Diceros bicornis minor: one gene and its partner. Each later gene encodes a partner of the first gene's protein in a complex. Links are inferred from orthologs where the notes say so. Each region holds a gene or a part of one and is shown in the gene's direction. Other genes may lie near its edges. The genes, in order: DNAJB1 and NUDC.

The links.
Region 2: the proteins of DNAJB1 (region 1) and NUDC are in contact, whole or in part, in a crystal structure (PDB 7NDX), measured with the Homo sapiens proteins. The link is inferred for Diceros bicornis minor from reciprocal best matches to the Homo sapiens genes DNAJB1 and NUDC. Residues at the interface, in NP_006136.1 of Homo sapiens: His166, Lys181, Lys182, Met183, Lys184, Ile185, Ser186, Asp201, Lys202, Ile203, Ile235, Phe237; in NP_006591.1 of Homo sapiens: Pro102, Gln103, Ile104, Lys105, Glu106, Leu107, Ala112, Leu115, Gln116, Ile119.

What each region holds. Positions count from the first base shown.
Region 1 is NC_080769.1:3,376,125-3,385,151, forward strand, and holds DNAJB1 (dnaJ homolog subfamily B member 1), read left to right. Parts: upstream 1-5,151; 5' UTR 5,152-5,194; coding exon 5,195-5,405; intron 5,406-6,055; coding exon 6,056-6,636; intron 6,637-6,968; coding exon 6,969-7,199; 3' UTR 7,200-8,333; downstream 8,334-9,027. UniProt on the Homo sapiens protein: Interacts with HSP70 and can stimulate its ATPase activity. Stimulates the association between HSC70 and HIP. Negatively regulates heat shock-induced HSF1 transcriptional activity during the attenuation and recovery phase period of the heat shock response.
Region 2 is NC_080752.1:42,672,695-42,681,914, forward strand, and holds the start of NUDC (nuclear migration protein nudC), read left to right. Parts: upstream 1-5,472; 5' UTR 5,473-5,566; coding exon 5,567-5,647; intron 5,648-7,816; coding exon 7,817-7,894; intron 7,895-9,220. UniProt on the Homo sapiens protein: Plays a role in neurogenesis and neuronal migration. Necessary for correct formation of mitotic spindles and chromosome separation during mitosis. Necessary for cytokinesis and cell proliferation.

The sequences.
Region 1 (9,027 bases):
CTTCCTCAGCAAAAAGAGGAGGATTGGTAGATGTTAGCTCAGGGCTAATCTTCCTCACAAAAAAAAAAAAAAAAGATTTGAGGACAGGCTAAGGAGTGGGTGGCACCTGGCACACCCCCTCACCTTCTCTTCTTTCTCCCGGATCCAGACCCTGCCCATGAGCCTTCATCTACTATTGGACCCTCCGGAACTCAGAGGCATGGCATCTGGGACATGGTGGAAAGTCCTCAAAGGTAGATCCATGATTCATAGGGGAGCAGGGTGGGGCAAGGGTGAGTCAGTGCTTAACACTTAGTCATCCAGGTTCTGGAAACTTCTGAAGCTACAGCTTTGGGGATCCCTATCTCCAAGCAAAGGAAGCCAAGGCTGTGGTCTTCAGAAACTCACTATGTTTTTCACCAGGGCTATCTAGGCAAAACAGAAGAAAACATAAACACGTTTTATAACTGTGCTTTCAAAGGCACAGGGTTTTTTTTTGGAGGGGGAGTGAGGAAGAGTGGCCCTGAGCCAACATCCATGCCAGTCTTCCCCTGTTTTCTATGTGGGACACCACCACGGTGTGGCTTGATGTGTGGTGTGCAAGTCCAAACCTGGGATCTGAATCCATGAACCCCGGGCCGCCAAAGCGCAGTGTGCAAACTTGACCACTACGCCACCGGGCTGGCCCCGGCACAGATCTTTTCTTGTTGGTAGTTTTGGGGCTCACAGTATCTTGAGTCCCTTTGTGTCCCCACAGGCCTCAGTCCCCGCCTCATTGAGGGGGACAAGGCGGGTACTCACTCAGAGGCTGCAAGTTAAAATCCTACCAACTTGCGTTGCTTGAGGTGTCTAGTCATAGGTGCTGAGGGAGCAGGGTCAAACCCCAAAAATCTAGACACGTTTTTCTACTGTGCCAGTTCTGCCCATTTGCAGCTTCTCCAGTGTGGACTGAGTGGGTGTGTCTTTTGTATCACTGGGTTCCAACTGAGGAAGGTGTGTGGTGTCCAAATAGATGTTGGGAGAGATTCCATGCACATTCCTACAGACCTGGAACATTCTGGAATTTCCCTTTCGAGACTGCTTTTCTGAGGCCCACACTCACTCAACAGGCACCCGATCATTTTGTGAACCTACTACACTTCGTGCCAGCCAGAGCGTACAAATGATTTCCACCCATGAGGAGCTCACAGAAAGGCAGGATCTGGCCTCAAGACGAGAATTCCTCTCTGTTTTTGATGAGTATTGCAAGCGTGAGCACCCCTTGTTGGCCTCATCGGGCTTCCAGTAACCAGGCTATTGGCAAACATCAAATCCACCCTTGGAATGAAGACTGGCCACTTGATTCAAGCTGTTCATGGCACTGTACAGCTGCTCTGACGGTGCCTGTTGGGAGGGACAGCCAGATCCTGCTCCGTGTCCTCAGCATCCCCAGCAGAGCGGCTGAGTCAGAGGAGTGAGGAGCAGATAACATTTGGTGTTTGCTGAACCAACTGGAACAAGCCCCTTAAAGCCGTTTCTGAAGGGGAAATTCCAGAAAGGTCTTGCGCTGTGGCAGCGCTGAAGGATGAGTGGGGCCTCCTCAGGCCTCGGATCTGGGGGAACCAGCAGTCACTCGCACATCAAAGATCTGGTGTGTTTGCTCTCCATCCCACAAGCTCCGTTTGTATTTCCCCCATGTAAGTAAGGCAGGATCTTGGTTTTTCCCAGAACCTGGCTTGGCTTGTTTTGGGGCGTGTGATTGTGATCCAGCTGGTTCAGAGCTGCGTGAGGGAAGGTGAAGCCAAGAGCAGACAAGACTGGGCTGGTTGGCAACTTTCCGCTGTGTCAGGGGCCCCAGAGAGAAGTTTCCCAAGCCCTACCCTCTCTCGACTTTCGTTATTTTTTTTTTAATTCCATGGATGTTTGTGTTTTTATTGAGGTATAATTTATATACAGTAAAATTCACCTTTCTTTAGTGTACAGTTCTGAATGCAGTTGTGTAACCACCACCACAGTCAAGATATAGAACATTTCCATCATCCTTTTCCCAGTCCCTGGCAACCACTGATCCACTTTCTGAGTCAATACTTTTGCCTTTTCCAGAAGGTCCTATAAAATGAAAGCACACAGTAAATAGCCTTTTGCGCCTGGCTTCTCTCACTAACATAATGCATTTGAGGTCCATCTGCATTGTTTCTTGTATCAGTAGCTCATTCCTTTTTAATGGCTGAATAGTATTCCATCATATGGCTGGATCACAGTTTGTTCATCCATTCCCCCATTGAAGGTTTTCCGGGATGTTGGTAATTACAAATAAAGCCTCCGTAAACATTTGCTCTCGGGTTTTCATGCGAGCGCAGGTTTGATCTCACGTGGGTATTCCACCAGTGGTGGGATTGCTGGCTCGTCTGGCTGCGGTGCTTTCGAAGGTCTTTTTGATGAAGAGGAGTTGAAAAGAGTGCTGCATTTTTTTTTAATTAAGGTTTTATCATCTGAATCACGTCTTACACAAGCTGAGTGCTTACTGTAAGCACTCAGTGTGCTAAACACTTTACACTGCAGCATCTCACTCACTGGGTGACCTCAGGCAAGTCACGTGACCGCTCAGAGCCTCCGTTTCCCCACCTGTAAAGTGGAGGTAACAATGGGCCAACTTCATAGGATTATTGTGAGGATGAAATGAGTTAATACGCATGGAGCGCTTTGAAACGGCTGGGCAGGTAGTAGGGCCGAGTCGGTGTCAGCTCTTGTTATAATGTTCCTTTCCTGGGCCCTGTCGATTTCATATGCATAGGAAGCCTGGGAGGTAGGATTTACTCTGGTCCTCATTTTATGCAGGACACACCTGGTGCTCTGAGAGACCAGGCGAGTTGTGCAAGATCATACAGACAGGAAATAAGTCAATAGTGGGTCTGGGACTTGAGCTGAGGCCGGCTGACTCCAGACTGCCCTGCTTAGTTCCTGTGTCGGTGAGGGTGCCACCAAAGACAGAACCAGTAGGACATTTGTGTGTGTGTTAACAGATGTATTTCAAGATGCTAGGTTGCACGACTGTGGGGGCTGGCTAGGCAAGTCTGGAACCTATAGGGCAGACTGGCAGGCTGGAAACTCATGGCCAGGAGCTGAGGTTTCTTCTTCAGGAAAACCTCAGTATTTGCCTTTAAGGCCTTTCACCTGATTGGACGAGACCCACCCACATTATGGAGGGTCATCTCCCGTACTTACAGTCAACTGACTGTAGTGTTAACCACATCTACCAAATACCTTCACAGCAGCACTTAGATTAGAGTTTAATTGAACTGGGTATTACAGCCCAGCCAGGTTGATGCATAAAATAAACATCACATCTTCTCTGAGCCGAGGGCTCAAGATCTGCTGAGGTTCCTGCAGAAGCCCCTTTTCCAGTAACAACCTGAAGATCCCACGGAGCGTCCCAGTCAAGGAAGCACAGCCATCAGGAGAGGTGTTGGGTTTTGCTTTTTTTTATGGGGGGAAGAGGGGATGGTTAAACAGTTTAAAATTCTTGAACATGACCCAGGCTTATTCAGGAAAGGGAGAGTCCCCTCGGCCCTAAGGTTGCCCACAAACACAAGGACGCCCAGAGCCGAGGGAGACCTCCGAGGCCGCCACACTCATGACTCGCCGTTAAGTCTGTATAGCAACAGACCAGTGCGTGAGGGCGAGGACGCCCACCAGCTCTGCTTTCTCCCTGTGACGACTTTCCTGCTGTTTATGTACCTGTTGAGAAACCGAATTCTCTCCCCGCTGTGCAGGCCCGGGGACTCCCCGCCCAGACCCGTCCTCCCAGGTTGGCCTGTGTGTGTCCTAGTCCAGAGTCCTGGGGTTTCCCTGGGGTCAGTGAGTGGCCAGGCAGGGCGGGAATCCCCTGCTGGCCAGCAGCGAAGGCCACGGTCTTCTTTCTCGGGAGTCGCGGCCCGCACGAGGGCAGAGACCACCACAAGCTTTGGCGCTGCGGTGCTGCCCGGGGGGGGCGTGGCCCAGCGGCCCCCACTCGTGGCGGCTGGTCAGCCTGTGACAGCGCTCCCTCTGGGCCAGGCCTGCCCTGGGCACTGGAGGGACGTTGACTCAGGTCGGCCTCCCAGCCCTGCGAGCGGTTACAGCTGCTACCCTCGCCGCACAGAGGCGGGAGCTGAGGCCGGCGCGGCCCGGGGACAGCCCGAGGCGACGCGGCCAGCAAGCGCGGGAACCGGGAGGGAAGGCGCTGTGGGCTCCGGAGCCAGCGTCCCCGGCCCTGACCTCCCGCGCGGGTCTTCCGGGAGCCGCCCCCGGGCCCGGGCCCGGCCCCCGCCCCTTCCTCCGGGCCCGCTCGCCGCCCTCGGCCCTGTCCTGGGCTCTCCCGTGGCCCACAGGCGAGGCGAGAGAGGCCCCGAGGGGCGTGTGGCGCCCCACGTCCCCCAAATCATCAAGGTGGCGGGGAGAGAAGAGCGGCGAGCGCGCTAGGAACGGCCGAACCCCTGGCGCGTCCCGGGACGGGCGCCGCTGCAGGCACGGGGCGGAGCGCCGCCGGGACGCGGGCTGGGGGGAGGCGACACCCGGCGGGAACACCGAGGAACACGACAATCGCGCTTCCAGCGGCAGCCGGTCTCGAGGCGCGATAAAAGGAAGGGCGCGGGGGACGGTCGGGGAGGCAGCCGCCCTGCGGGGGCCTGCGGGGGCAGCACAGGGACAGTCCCGGCCCCGGGTGCGTTCTCCCCGCCGCCGCGAGGAGCGGGCGGGTGGGCGCGCCTGTTCCCGGAAGCGGAACCCGGGGCAGGGCGAGGTGAGGCACCCCCGCAGTCACCGGGAGGGCCGGGCGCGGCGGGCCTAAGGTCTCCCGGGGAAGGGGCGTGGCCGACCCCGCCCCGCCCCTTCCCGGAGCCGCGCGCCGTAACCCACCGACCCGGGCAGGGGGCGGGAAACGGGCGGGAAACAAGGCCGCCATTGGCTCCCCGCAAAGGGTGGGCGGGGCCTCCGCCGCCGGGTGCGCGCGCCGCGGGGAGGCGTTGCCGGCGAGGGGAGGGGCGTGGCCGCGCGCGGGCGGCCGTTGGCGGCGCGGCCCCGCCCCGGATGTCGCGCGTCGCGGCCAGGGCGGCGGCGATTGGTGGGCGCGGCGCGGGGGCGGGGCAGAAGGTTCTGGAGGGGGCTGGCGGGCTCTGGAAGCTTCCGCCGGACGCGTATATAGAGTGCGGGCCAGGCGGCGGGGGCGGCGGAGCCGGGCGGGTGGCGGCCGCGGGTCATGGGCAAGGACTACTACCAGACGCTGGGCCTGGCCCGCGGCGCGTCGGACGAGGAGATCAAGCGCGCCTACCGGCGCCAGGCGCTGCGCTACCACCCCGACAAGAACAAGGAGCCGGGCGCCGAGGAGAAGTTCAAGGAGATCGCCGAGGCCTACGACGTGCTCAGCGACCCGCGCAAGCGCGACATCTTCGACCGCCTGGGCGAGGAAGGTGCGTGCCGGGCCGCCGTTTGCCGGGCGCGGGGCGGGGGCGCGTCCCCGACCCCCGGTCCCTGCCCTCCGCCCTGCGCCGCGCGCCTCCGCCCCGGGGTGGGCGCGGGCGGGAGGAGCTTGGCCGCGCGGCTCGCCCAGAAGCTTGCAGCACGGCCGGGCCACTCTCCCCGCGCCTCCGCCCGCCCCTCGGCGGCCGGCCCGGCTCCCTGGGCGGGGGGCGTCTCCGGGAGCAGGGACGCCCGCAGGTGGTCCGCCCGTCCTGGGCGGCTCAGGCTGGCCTGCGGGCCGGCCGCGGGGACGGAGGGCCGGGGCGCCGTGCTGCGCCGCCCGGCGCGGCCCCTCCAGAGCTCCCGCCGCCTCTGCGTGCGCGGCGCGGCGGCCCGTCCGTGAGATGCCGTGTTGTCGCGGGGGCGCGCGGGCGGGCAGCGGGCGGGCCGGGAGCCCGGAGGTGGCCGTCTCGGACCTTGAGCCGGGCGGGGCGGGGCGGGCGGGCGGCGCTGCTGCAGGGCGGGCGGGGCCTTGCGGCGTCGGTCTGGTCGGCCCTCCCGAGCTGAGAGAACCCCCGCGGCTCACGAGCTCTCTCCGGGGCGCTCCGGGAGGGGGCAGCTCCGTGCCGGCCGTCTGACCGCTTCCCGTTTTGCTTTTCAGGCCTCAAGGGCGGCGGCCCCAGCGGCGGCAGCAGCGGGGGTGCTGACGGCACCTCTTTCAGCTACACGTTCCATGGAGATCCTCATGCCATGTTCGCCCAGTTCTTCGGTGGTCGGAATCCGTTTGACACCTTTTTCGGGCAGCGCAACGGGGAGGAAGGCATGGATATCGACGATCCTTTCTCCGGCTTCCCCATGGGCATGGGCGCCTTCACCAACGTGAACTTGGGCCGCTCCCGCCCTGCCCAGGAGCCCAGCCGAAAGAAGCAAGATCCCCCCGTCACCCACGACCTGAGGGTGTCACTCGAAGAGATCTATAGCGGCTGTACCAAGAAGATGAAAATCTCCCACAAGCGGCTGAACCCCGATGGAAAGAGCGTTCGCAACGAAGACAAAATCCTGACCATCGAAGTGAAGCGCGGGTGGAAGGAAGGGACCAAGATCACCTTCCCCAAGGAAGGCGACCAGACCTCCACCAACATTCCGGCCGACATCGTCTTTGTTCTAAGGGACAAGCCGCACAACGTCTTCAAGAGGGACGGCTCCGACGTCATCTACCCGGCCCGGATCAGCCTCCGGGAGGTAGGGCTCTGGGTGGCGGGTCGGTGGAGGGAGGGGCTGCCGGTGAAACCGTGCAGTATTGGGTTGCCAGGCGTTTCTGAGCACTTGGTGTGGGACAGGCTGGGGAGGCACCAGGAACGGACAGACAGGGCTCGGCTTTCTGGGGCGTCCGTGCTGGTGACCTGGGGAGATGTGGCGGCAGGGTCTTAGTTGCAGAGGCCTGGTGGCTCTTTATTTAGCTGAAGAGTTTCTCTTCCTCTTATCTTCTCACGGGGCCAGAAGTGGTGGAACGGCCCAGAAAGCCGAGAAGGCAGGAGCGTACTCCATCTAATCCTGTGCCTTTGCTTCTCGAGGCTCTGTGTGGCTGTACCGTGAACGTCCCCACTCTGGACGGCAGAACCATACCTGTCGTGTTCAAAGACGTCATCAGGCCTGGCATGCGGCGGAAAGTTCCTGGAGAAGGCCTCCCTCTCCCCAAGACACCCGAGAAGCGCGGGGATCTCGTCATTGAGTTTGAAGTGCTCTTCCCGGACAGGATCCCCCAGACGTCAAGAACCGTACTGGAGCAGGTTCTTCCGATATAGCTGACCGTGTCTCCGAGGACTGATCAGGGACCTTTCCAGAGCTGAAGGCTTTCCGGACCGTTCCACCACTTGTGGCCCCTTGAGAGGGCGGGAGGGCCCAGGGAGGGCTCCGTACTGCTGAATGTGTTTCAGAGAATATATTACAATCTTTGAAAGTCGAGCACTAGACTGAAGTGGTTTTTGCAGTGATAGGGCAGGAGGTGGTGGGCACGACAGGAAAAGGCGTTGCAGTCTGCACCCGGGTCCTGCAGCCCTCCAGGGAGGGGCCCCTGCCCTCCTCCAGGCCCTGTTGCAGGGCCAGAGCCAGACCCACGGCTGGACTCATCCCTCTGTGGGCCTTTGGCTTGCAGCTGAGGTGGTGTCGACCTGTTGTCCTCCTCAGCAGAGCTGGTACAGTCCTCAGTTTCTGCTGTGTGATGGGTTTGTGTCTGTTGTGTATTTGTCTTCCATGTCCTGCTCTTCTTCTAAAGAATCCAGTTTTCTGTTTTGTCATCTCAAATTGAGAACCTAGACTGTGTTTGCAGAACTGCCTGGCTGGCGCCCACAAGTAATACCTCTCACTCCAGCAGGACCAGGGGAGCCGGCCTGGAGCAAGCCAGTGACTGGCGCAGCCACCTCTCCGCTGAAGGTCGGGGGTGCTCTCGATCCCTGGTCCCAAGGCTGAGTGTGCGCACTCACCAGGTATTCTGCTGTGTAAGGCAATCCTTTGGCATACCTGTGGCTTACCAGAGACCCTGGTAATTTTTTTTGTAATAGACTTTGGACTCATTCAAAGGGATCTAATCCTTTTGAATTTTGCACAGCCCTAGATATAATCCTTTTTGATAAAAGGGTCTTTGCTTCTGATTACAGGAGCACTGTGGAACGCCTGTAAATATGTTTTTATAGTTCTGTGTAAAGACAGTGTGCATTCCAGAAAGACCAAGTCGTCGGCAGCTGCTGCCTGTATGGGGCCATGGTGGAGTTGAGAAGGCACCTTGGGAGTGGGGAGTCGGGACAAGTGTCTGTTCCTTGCAGGCCAGTCTGGTGCTCAGACCTTTAGATTCATTGTCAGTTGCCACTGCCAACGTGAGACCAAAGTGTGTGACTTGTCGATGTGCAGCGCCACAGCATTAAAGACTGATGCTAAACCTGGGGGAGTGGTCCTGTGACTCTGTTTGAGGGCTCTGCTGGGGGGGGGGGGCAGGGGCAGGCCTCCCTCCAAAGGCATCGTGGGGGTGGGGGGGCGGGCTGGAAGCAGCAGTCTCCCTTCCTGAGCTGTGTGTGGGGTGGAGAAGGTCGGTTGACCCTGTCTCTGGATCCAGGCCTCTGAAGAGGCCAGTGGATTCAGAGCCTGTTTTTCGTGAAGGTTGAAGCCGGAGTTTGACTCTTCCAGTCTCTCAGGGTCTGGTCTGCCCTCATAATCTGGCTCCACTGTTTCCTGCTGGAACAGGCTGGGTGTTGGGCAGGCCCTGGCCACACCCAACTGGGATTCCATCCCAGGGTCGGTTGTGCGCTGGAGAAGGCCCATTTCCTGCGCTGGATTTACTTACAGGCCACGGAACCGCTCTTACTTTGTAACTTTTTTTCAGGAACTGTTGTTATTATAAGGTAAGTAATTACACAGTTTGAAAACAATGTATTGCTATTTTGCTACAAAAAATCTTAAACTAAAAACTTGAGTAACACCATATTTAAAGTCAACCTACCACTGGCTTTCCCTTCCCACTGAAACCATTTAACCACTGAAAATAGGCTAGGGGCATCGCTGTCCAAGGGAGTTTTTTGTAGTAATGGGAGTGTTTTTTTTGAATGGAAATTTTTTCAGATTCAATAAAATTAAAAATTC
Region 2 (9,220 bases), on another chromosome or scaffold:
ATTGAAAGAATTTTGCACAGATTGGCTTCTTGATCCACACAAATTTTTTTCTCCTCCACCACGCACGTAATTCTAGGTGTCTTGGGAATAATTCATATTGGGAAGTGGGATAGAGTGGGAAGAAACAGTGGTTTTTAAACAATTGTAGTTTTAAAATTTTATCTTTGCAAATTAAAAAGAAAAAATATATATGTATTTGACCCTAAGAAGACGTTGCTGGGGTCTCTCCCAGTGCCTTGGATGGGCCCGTGCAGGCCCTGGAATTCAAGCCTCATTAGCCTCACAGAAAATCTGCCTCTAATAGTGCCTTTCCTGGGTGCTAGTGAGACTCAAGTGAGGTGTTTGTGAGGACACACGTGCCTGGCACACAGCAAGTGCTCCATAAAGGAGGGAAATTGTCCCTATTATTGTTGTTGCTTTTTTACCCTCATTTCCTAGAGGATGAGGTTACAGAGGAGGAGACCCAGAGAAGGGAGGAGACCCCTCTGTGGGGGTCACGGTAAGGCTGGGCTGGAAGCTAGGTCTCCAGGTTTTAAGTCTTGCGTTTTTTGCACTGTGGGGAACTGTGTTTTCTGATTCCTGTGTATGGCCTGAAGACCAGGGTGCTAGTCCTGGAGGCCCTGGAGGGTGAGGAAAGGCCTCAGCTGGGATCTCTATAGCCCAGAGCCTGACTGGGGCCACTCACTCAGAGAAGTAGGAGGCCTCTGTGGGAGAAAATGGTCCATCAGCTGCCCTCTGCCTAGGCCCTGCCCTCAGTCTAAAGGAGGAGACATAGGTCAACCCTCAGGAGACCCCAGTCTAAAGGGGGAGACACAGCTCTGCCCTTGGGAACCCCAAATCTAATTGGGGTGACACAGGCCAGCCCCGAGGAGGCCCCATTCTGAGGAGGGAGAGACAGCCCCGTTCTCAGTAGCTCTAACAAGGGAGCCAGGACGCCACATCAGTGGTGGGCGGGAATGCTCAAATGGTACGGGGGGCTAAGGAGCTGGAATTTGGAAGACTTTCTGGAGGAAAAGTTCATGACAATGCTTTCCCATCTGTACAGCACTCTACGGTTTACCAAGTACTTTCACAACAATTATTTCAGTTAATCTTCATGCAACAATAGGATGGGGGTGTTACTGTCCAAGCAGGAACAATAATCATCAACATCCTAAGAATGATAACAAGTGACATTTATTGAGCACCTACTGTGTGTCAAGCACTGCATTATCTGTAAAATTAAAGGACACTCCATAAGATAATGTATGTGAAAATGCTCTGCAATCCTATGCCCAGGATGCACGTTTGTTTTTGTTGTGCACCGAGTCCTCAGACTAATTGAAGGGGCAGCTGGGAGATCCTGGGCTGCAGGGGGCATGGGTTAAGCATTGGAACTGGGAGTCAGAGAGCCAGCACTGGGCACCTTTTCGTTTCCTGAACATGTCATGCACCTTTGTGCCTCCCAGCTTTTGCCCATGCTGTTCCCCCACCTGGGATGCCTTTCCCTTACCCTGTCTGCTTGGTAAGCTCCTGGTCACCCTTAATGGTCTAGCTCAAACATTACTGCTCTAGTGCAGGTTTCCTGTCTTGCCCTCTCCACCTGTTCGGAAGAATAAATTGCTCCCTCCCTGAGTTCCCTGTCATCTAGTCCACACCCTTCAGAGAGCACTTAGCACGGTTGGTGTAATCAGCCACTTGCCTGCCATTAGTGGTGTTCAAATGTAGATGGGGTCAGAGGTCACTAGGGGAGACTGATTGGTCACCAAGAGGGGGACATTCATTATCTTAGTAAATTCACCAGGGTCCAAGATCAGGCCTTGGTTTCTCAGGGAAGAGTCACATCAAATAACCGTCTGGGGCTGATGTATAAAATCAGAATGCCAATTCAGGGAGACAGAACTCTAAGGTGAAGTAGGTTAGTGTGTGCACTCTGGAGACAGGCTGCATGGGTTTGAATCCTGGTCCTACCTTTTCAGCTCTGTGACCTTGGGCACAAGACTTCACTTGTCTGTCCCTGTTTTTTCATCTCTCAGATGGGGACAGTAACATAGGAGCATTGTGTTAAGTCAAGTAATGTTTGTAAAATGTTCAGTACACTACTGGGTACTTAATAAGTCAATAAATTTTACCAATATTTATTGATAAGTTATGTAATGAGATGCAATAGTATCAAGCAAAGACCATTTGTCCATTCTCCAGATATTTACTGAGGGTCTACAACATTTGAGACTCTGAGCTGAATGTTTGGATGAATCAGACAAGCTCTATCTTTGATTATGTTTATATTCCAGTGAGAGGAGATGGATGTAGAACCAAAATTTCTTAATCATATATTTCAATTGTAGTAAGTAATTACAGAGGATGAGCACAAGGCACTTTGAAAGTAAACACATGGAGATGGAGAATTGCTCTGTATATCAGGGTCAGTAAAGGCCTCACAGAGGAAGGGCATTTGGGTTGAGACCTGATGGATGAAAACAAGTTGGCTGGCAAAGGCCTAGGAACTAGGACAGCGCATTCTGGGAAGTGAAAGCCGCCAGTTGGGAGGGAGCCTGGTGAGTGAAGGCAAGTGTGGGACAAGATGAGGCTGGAGAAGTAGGCAGGGCCTTGACAGTGTTGCTCCTCAGAGGCCATGGTTGGGAGTTTGGAATTTATCCTGAATGCAATGGCAATCCGTGAAGGGCTAATTTTAAGCAAGGGAGTAACAAGATCTGGCTTATCCTTTAGAAGGATTGCTCTGGCTGCTGGGTGGAGGATGGACTACAAAGGGACAAGAACGGAGTAAGGAGACCAGCTAGGAAGCTATAGGAGTAGTTCGAGCAAGAGATGATGCTGGTTTATACTGGAGTAGTAACAGCACCTTGCTTCGCATGGCTAGGTGAGAAGTGGAGAGAATCAGGATATATTTTGGAGGGAGAGCTGACAGGACTTACTAATGGATAAGATAAGGCTAGATTTTGGCTTGTGCAAATGGGTAGATGAGTGGAGGTTTGGGCTTTGGCAATCATTGCTTGAAGGGGCCATTTAACTCTATGGAGAAGACTTCAGAAGGACTTAATGTGTGTGTGTGGGAGTATCAGTGTTGGCCATGTTAGTTTTTTTAAAATAATAATTCTTTTTTTTTTTTTAAAGATTTTATTTATTCATCTTTTCCCCCCAAAGCCCCAGTAGATAGTTGTATGTCATAGAAGGAGCAATCCTTCTAGTTGCTGTACGTGGGACTCGGCCTCGGGTTGGACGGAGAAGTGGTGCCTTGGGGCGTGCCCGGGATCCGAACCCGGGCCACCAGCATCAGAGCGCGCGCACTTAACCGCTAAGCCACAGAGCCGGCCCAATAATTCTTGAATATAATCAAATATCTAGTCAGAGTTCAAAGTGTCTCATAAAGTTACAAATTTTTTTATTGTGGTAAAATATACATAACATTAAACTTACCATGTAACCATTTTTAAGTGTATAGTTCAGTGGCATTAAATACACTCACATTGTTGTGCAGCCGTCACCACCATCCATCATCAGAACTTTTACATCTTCCCAAAGCCATGTGAATTTTGAGATGTCTGTCCAGGAGGTAGGTAGATACATGAAGCTGGAGCTCAGGAAAGGTCTGGGCCAGAGATGTCATGAGATCACCTACAGAGAAAGTGCAGAGAGAAAGGAAAAGAGCAGAGGGCAAAGGATGGAGCCCCCAACATTTGCAAGTGTGGGTAGGACAGGATGTGAGAAAGAGTGTTAGTGAGGCAGGAAGAAAACCAGGTAAGTGTGGTGACACAGAAGCTCTATTAGTTTGCTAGGGCTGCCATAACAAAATACCACAGACTGAGTGACTTCAACAGCAGAAATTTATTTTCTCACAATTCTGGAGGCTGGAAGTCCAAGATCAAGGTGTTGGCAGGTTTGCTTTCTCCTGAGGCCTCTCTCTTTGGCTTGCAGATAGCTGTCTCACACGGCTTTTCCTCTGTGTGCTCACAAGTTCCTGGTGTCTCTTCCTCTTCTTGTAAGGACACTAGTCATATTGGATTAGGACCCCGCCCTTATGAATTCATTTAACCTTAATTACCTCTTTAAATGGCCCTATCTCCCAAAACAGCTACATTGGGGGTTAGGGCTTTAATTTATGAATATGGGGGGAACACAATTCCATCCATAAGAGAAGCCTAAGGAAAAAAATTGTTTATAGAAGGAAGAAGGGGTCAACTGTGTCAAATGCAGCTGAGAAGTCCAGCGAGACAATAGTGGTCCACTGGTGTTGGCAACATGTAGGTCATTGTAACCTTGGTCAGAGTCTTTTAAGAAAAGGCTGATTAAATTGAGGAGAGATGGAAAGTGAGGAAGTGGAGAAACAAGTATAGAAATCTTTTCAAGGTTTGCTGAGAATGAGAATTGAAAATTGGGGCGGGGGCCGGCCCCGAAGCTTAGCAGTTAAGTTCACTCGCTCCACTACTGGTGGCCCGGGTTCGGATCCCAGGCATGCACCGACACACCTCTTCTCCAGCCATGGTGAGGCTGTGTCCCACATACAGCAACTACAAGGATGTGCAACTATGACATACAACTATCTACTGGGACTTTGAGGAAGAAAAAAAAAAAAGGAAATTGGGGTGGTAGGTGGAGAATGTAGAGTCACAAAATAGTAAAAAAATAAGTGAAATTAAAGCAAGTTTGTAAATTGAAGAGAATGATCCAGAAGAAAGAAATTTGTGATTCAGGAGATTAAAAAAAGGATAATTGCAAGGACAGAATGCTTGAAAAGGCAAAGATGTTGAAATTCACTGCAAGAGGGGAGGGGCTGGCTTCAGATAGCTGGGATCTGTGCCCCCCACGTTAACACGAGTGAAGGTCGAATATCCCACTCATTACATACTTTACAGGGCCCAATGCAAAATGAAAATGTGGGGGTCTCTGGTTCAAAAATTATTAAGAATTTTAAGACTGCAGCAGAAGAGTATTAAACCAAGCACCCAGCCCTTCTAACCCCAGCCCTCAGGACCACACAGTTTGTATGCCCATGAAGCCCGCCTTGGTCGAGTAGGTGATGAGGCGGTTGGTAGGCTGTCCTTTGGGCAAGTCCCTCCTCCTCTCTGGGCCTCAATTGCTTCATATAAAGGATTGGAAGAGATGACTAAGGACACTTTCAGCTTCACCCTTCTACAAGCTGGGAGGTTACTCTCAAGGAGTAGGAGCAAAGTTCATACCTTTGCAACTTCCAACCCCGCTAGCTTTGAGCCCAGAGCTTTCTGGAAGGCTCTAAAGCATCCAGTGACCATAGCAACTCACGCCAAACTCCTGGGCCCTCGGCTCCTCCCACCGCTTCACGGACGCGCTCGTTGATTGGCTCACCAAGTTGACCAATGGCCGGTGGAGCGGGCTGTTTGCCGCGCGGTCAATGGCCACGGGCCCGGAGGGAGGCGGGAAGAGAAGGCGAGAAGGCGGAGCTGGGCGGCGGGGAGCCTGCGTGTTTCCGGCTCCGCTGCGGAAGGCGCAGGATCGGAGCCGTTGGGCCCGACGCGACGCGGAGGAGCAGGGAGAGCGCGGGACGCGAGTGAAGAGCTCGGATCTGTGAGCGTGCCTGGTGGCCGGCGCGATGGGCGGAGAGCAGGAGGAGGAGCGATTCGACGGCATGTTGCTGGCCATGGCGCAGCAGCACGAGGGCGGCGTGCAGGAGGTAACGGCCCGCGCGGCGTCGGCCCGGCCTGGTCCAGCGGCGCCTGCCCACTCGGGCGGCCCGAGCCACGCTCCCTCCGCCCTAATCTGCCTTCGAGGGCTGAGTCCCACCCCTGGGCCTCACGGGCTTCTGGGATCCCGCCACATTCTCACCGCATCCCAGCTTCCGGTCTGGCCTCCGCGCTGCGCGACTTGCCCCCTTCGTATCAGTCTTGGGCCTCCGGCGCTCCTCAGTAGTAGTTCCTATCTTAGCAACTCCGGCGTCCCTGAACCCGTCCCTGGAAAACCCTCAGAGTCTTTGGATTCACACTCCTGCAACCCACCCCGTTCCCGCCCTTCCGGCTCCATTGCCCCTCTGATGGCCGCCCCGAAGAGCATCCCTTAGGACGAACCATCCCAGACGTTGAGATCTGCATCTACCACGACTTGGAGCGAACCGAAGAATGGGTGCAAAGAATGTGTGCCGTGGGGGGGGGGGGCGGGCGGGGTGATAGTAGCACATGGTCTTTTTAGGCCTTGAATGGGGCAGTAGGAGGCCTGTGTTCACAATTGGTTTCCACCACCTCCCAACTTGGGACCTTTCCACATCTCCAAGCCTCAGTTTCTTTGAGATAGAGCTACAAAGCCCTATTTCCTGAATATTTGTAGGACAGTAGTAGTAGTGTCTTGAAGTGGAGAACACTGAGGAATTCCCGGCAGTCAGGCGTGTTCATTCAAGTGTTTGTTGAGTGATTGATGTGTACCAGACACTCACTGGACTGGGTGTCTGGGGATATGTGAGGATACAGACATGAGCAGAAACCTGTCCTTGCCCTGATGGAGCTTAGAAAGAGCTTTTCAAAAGCATAATTCATGCATAGTGACCAGACACACATAGTGTATGAACGATAAGGACCAACCAGCATAGATTCTGGAGTTGGGTTTTTGGATCAGAAACAGAAGGTTACACATAGAAAAGCCTATCAAGATAAGTCTAGAAGTGTCATTCTATAAAGAAATTGAAGGAACTTGCCCAAGATCATCCAGAAGGCTCTTGATCTAGAGGGGACCAGACTCCTTAGGCCAGCGTGCTTTCCACAGTCCATTGCCCATTCTGTGTCTCGCTGGGGACAAGTTTTTATTGAGCTTTTCCTTCTCATTCACTCAGGTGCTTGTGGTGACCAAGGACTCCTAAGCCCTTTGGGGTGGGAAGAGTGTTACTAATTTGCAAGTGTGAAAGGCTCCCTCCCCCACCCCCTAAATTGTTGACACAAAACTGGATTTGAGAGTGAGTTCATTTTTGAGTGAATTGAAAAAGTGCCTAGAAGCAGGAATTGAAACCATTGAGATAAGTTCTAGCATCGGATTTAGAACCACTCACTTGGGCAAATAAAAAGGCTTATATGTGCTAGCCCTAGGTCACCACTAGATCTCGTCATTCAGCAGAAATTCTGCTGAGCATGTACTCTGAGACAGATCTGGTGCCAGGCATTGGGGATGTAGACAGAATAAGCCTACTTGTGAGGAGTTAACTCTTTGGTAGGGGGTCTCTTGCTCTGGGCCAGAGACTGTTAAGGATCTCACCTCCATTACCTCGTTTGATCCTCACAAGATCTGTAGAAGTAGGTCCTGCTGCTGTCCTGTTTTGCAGAATTAAGAAACTTCTTCAGGGTCACAGAGCTGATGTATGTCAGTCTGATATTCAAAACACATGCCCTTAACCACTTGGCTAGACTGGTACCCAGCCAGAGTTAGTTGGTCTTAATCTTTGAAGTGGCTTCGTTTGTTCCCTTCCTCCTACCTCTGTCCCACTAACTCGGCCACTGCCCCTCTGGATAGGCTGTTTACCATCTGGAGAGGAAAGGTGGGCCCTGGTGTTTCAAGCCCTGGATGCAGAGGAGTGGTCCATACCTTCAGGCTGCTTCTAGCGCCACAAGGAATATGAAACACAAACATACAAACAAGAAATGAGAAATCTGCCCTTCATGTGATCTAGATAAGGTCAGGTTAGACTTCCTGGCAGAAGTGACAAAAGTAGGGCCTGTTGAGGAGGATGTTTCCTTAGTTGGGAGGCTCAGGTGTGAAACAGTCAAGTCCTGAGTTTCCTCCTAGGGTAAGGAAGTTGGCTTCTGTGCACTTGAGGGGCTCCCGATATGGCATCTCCACAGTGTCGTTCTTTGTCTTCTTGCAGCTTGTGAACACTTTCTTCAGCTTTCTTCGGCGCAAAACAGACTTTTTCGTTGGAGGAGAAGAGGGGATAGCAGAAAAGGTGAGTGTTGGGAGCCACTGTCGCTTGGGCAGCTCTTCTTAGAAGAAAAGCTCACCTGGCCTTCCTTTGGCATAATAGTAATAATCTTCAGCAGAAGTGAAATGCTCAGGGTGAGAAGTTGGGGAGGGGAAACAAGCTGTCATTTATTGAAGCCCCTCTTCTTGCCAGGTCTTTATCTATCATGTCTCCCATGACCCTTCAGTGGTTCAAGAGGGGCAGGTGTTACTATCCCCATTTTACAAATGAGGAAATTGGCTTGGGGGTGTTTGGCACTTTGTCCAAAGTCTTGAGCTGAGTTGTGAGAGAGCCAGGGTTGGAACCAGAGTCTGTTGTAAAACTGCCTTCTGCCCCTGACACCATGCTTCTTGGTTCCTTTTCCACTGAGGAGGTTTTATCTAATTACTTAGCTGGGAGATGAGAGTAGGTAAATGTTAGAAATTGAGCTCAGAAGACAAGTATAGGAAAACTCAAAGACAACAATCCCAGTCTTCCCAGATGCTGTGACCCGAAGTTCAAGGATTTGGGAATGGTGTTTTGTGGTGCAGGTTCTGAGACCTTGAACTTCCTGCTGTGTACTGAGGTTGTAATTACATTTTTGAAGATTGGTAAATCATGAAGATGTCACCTCATTGAACTATGATTTTTATAACCTTGATATTTGTTTTCACTTAAACATAGTAATAAGGAAACGTAGTAAACATAGAGAAATAGTAACAAGGAGGAGACGTTTTGCAAACTGCTTTCTGTGGTTTTGGGATTCTAACAAGCTGGTATGCTTTGTAATGTTCCTTGATAATCTGAGGCTACTCTGTCATAGACATGTTGGCCTGGGAGTAGGAGTCTCAGGTTCTTGGTCTAACTGTATGGCCACCTTGATTTCCTACCAATTCTTTGGTCCTTTCAATCTTCACATCTGTAAAATGGAAGAAGGTGGCTCACTGACTTGTAGGACCCCTTCTGGCTCAAATATTCTTTCTCTATTAGCATTAGCACCTCCTGTTTTTCTGGGGGCCTGACTGCCTTATAATATCAGCAGTCATCATTCATTCATTTAATGAATATTTATTGAACACCTAACACTTTGCCTGTGTTAGGTACTATGCCAAACCCTTCCAGATTGCAGAGGTGAATACAGACATGTGCTTTGTTTTCATGGATCTCACAGGGTAGCCCCCCCCCCCAAAAAAAAAAAAAGATAATGAGGAACTGGTGGATGTTAGGGCAGAAGCCCTGGGAGCATAAAATGATGGGATTAACCCAGGTTGGGGGCTGAAGGAAGACTTCCTGAGGAAGGTATGAAAGATGAGTAAGGTAGCTGGAAGAAGA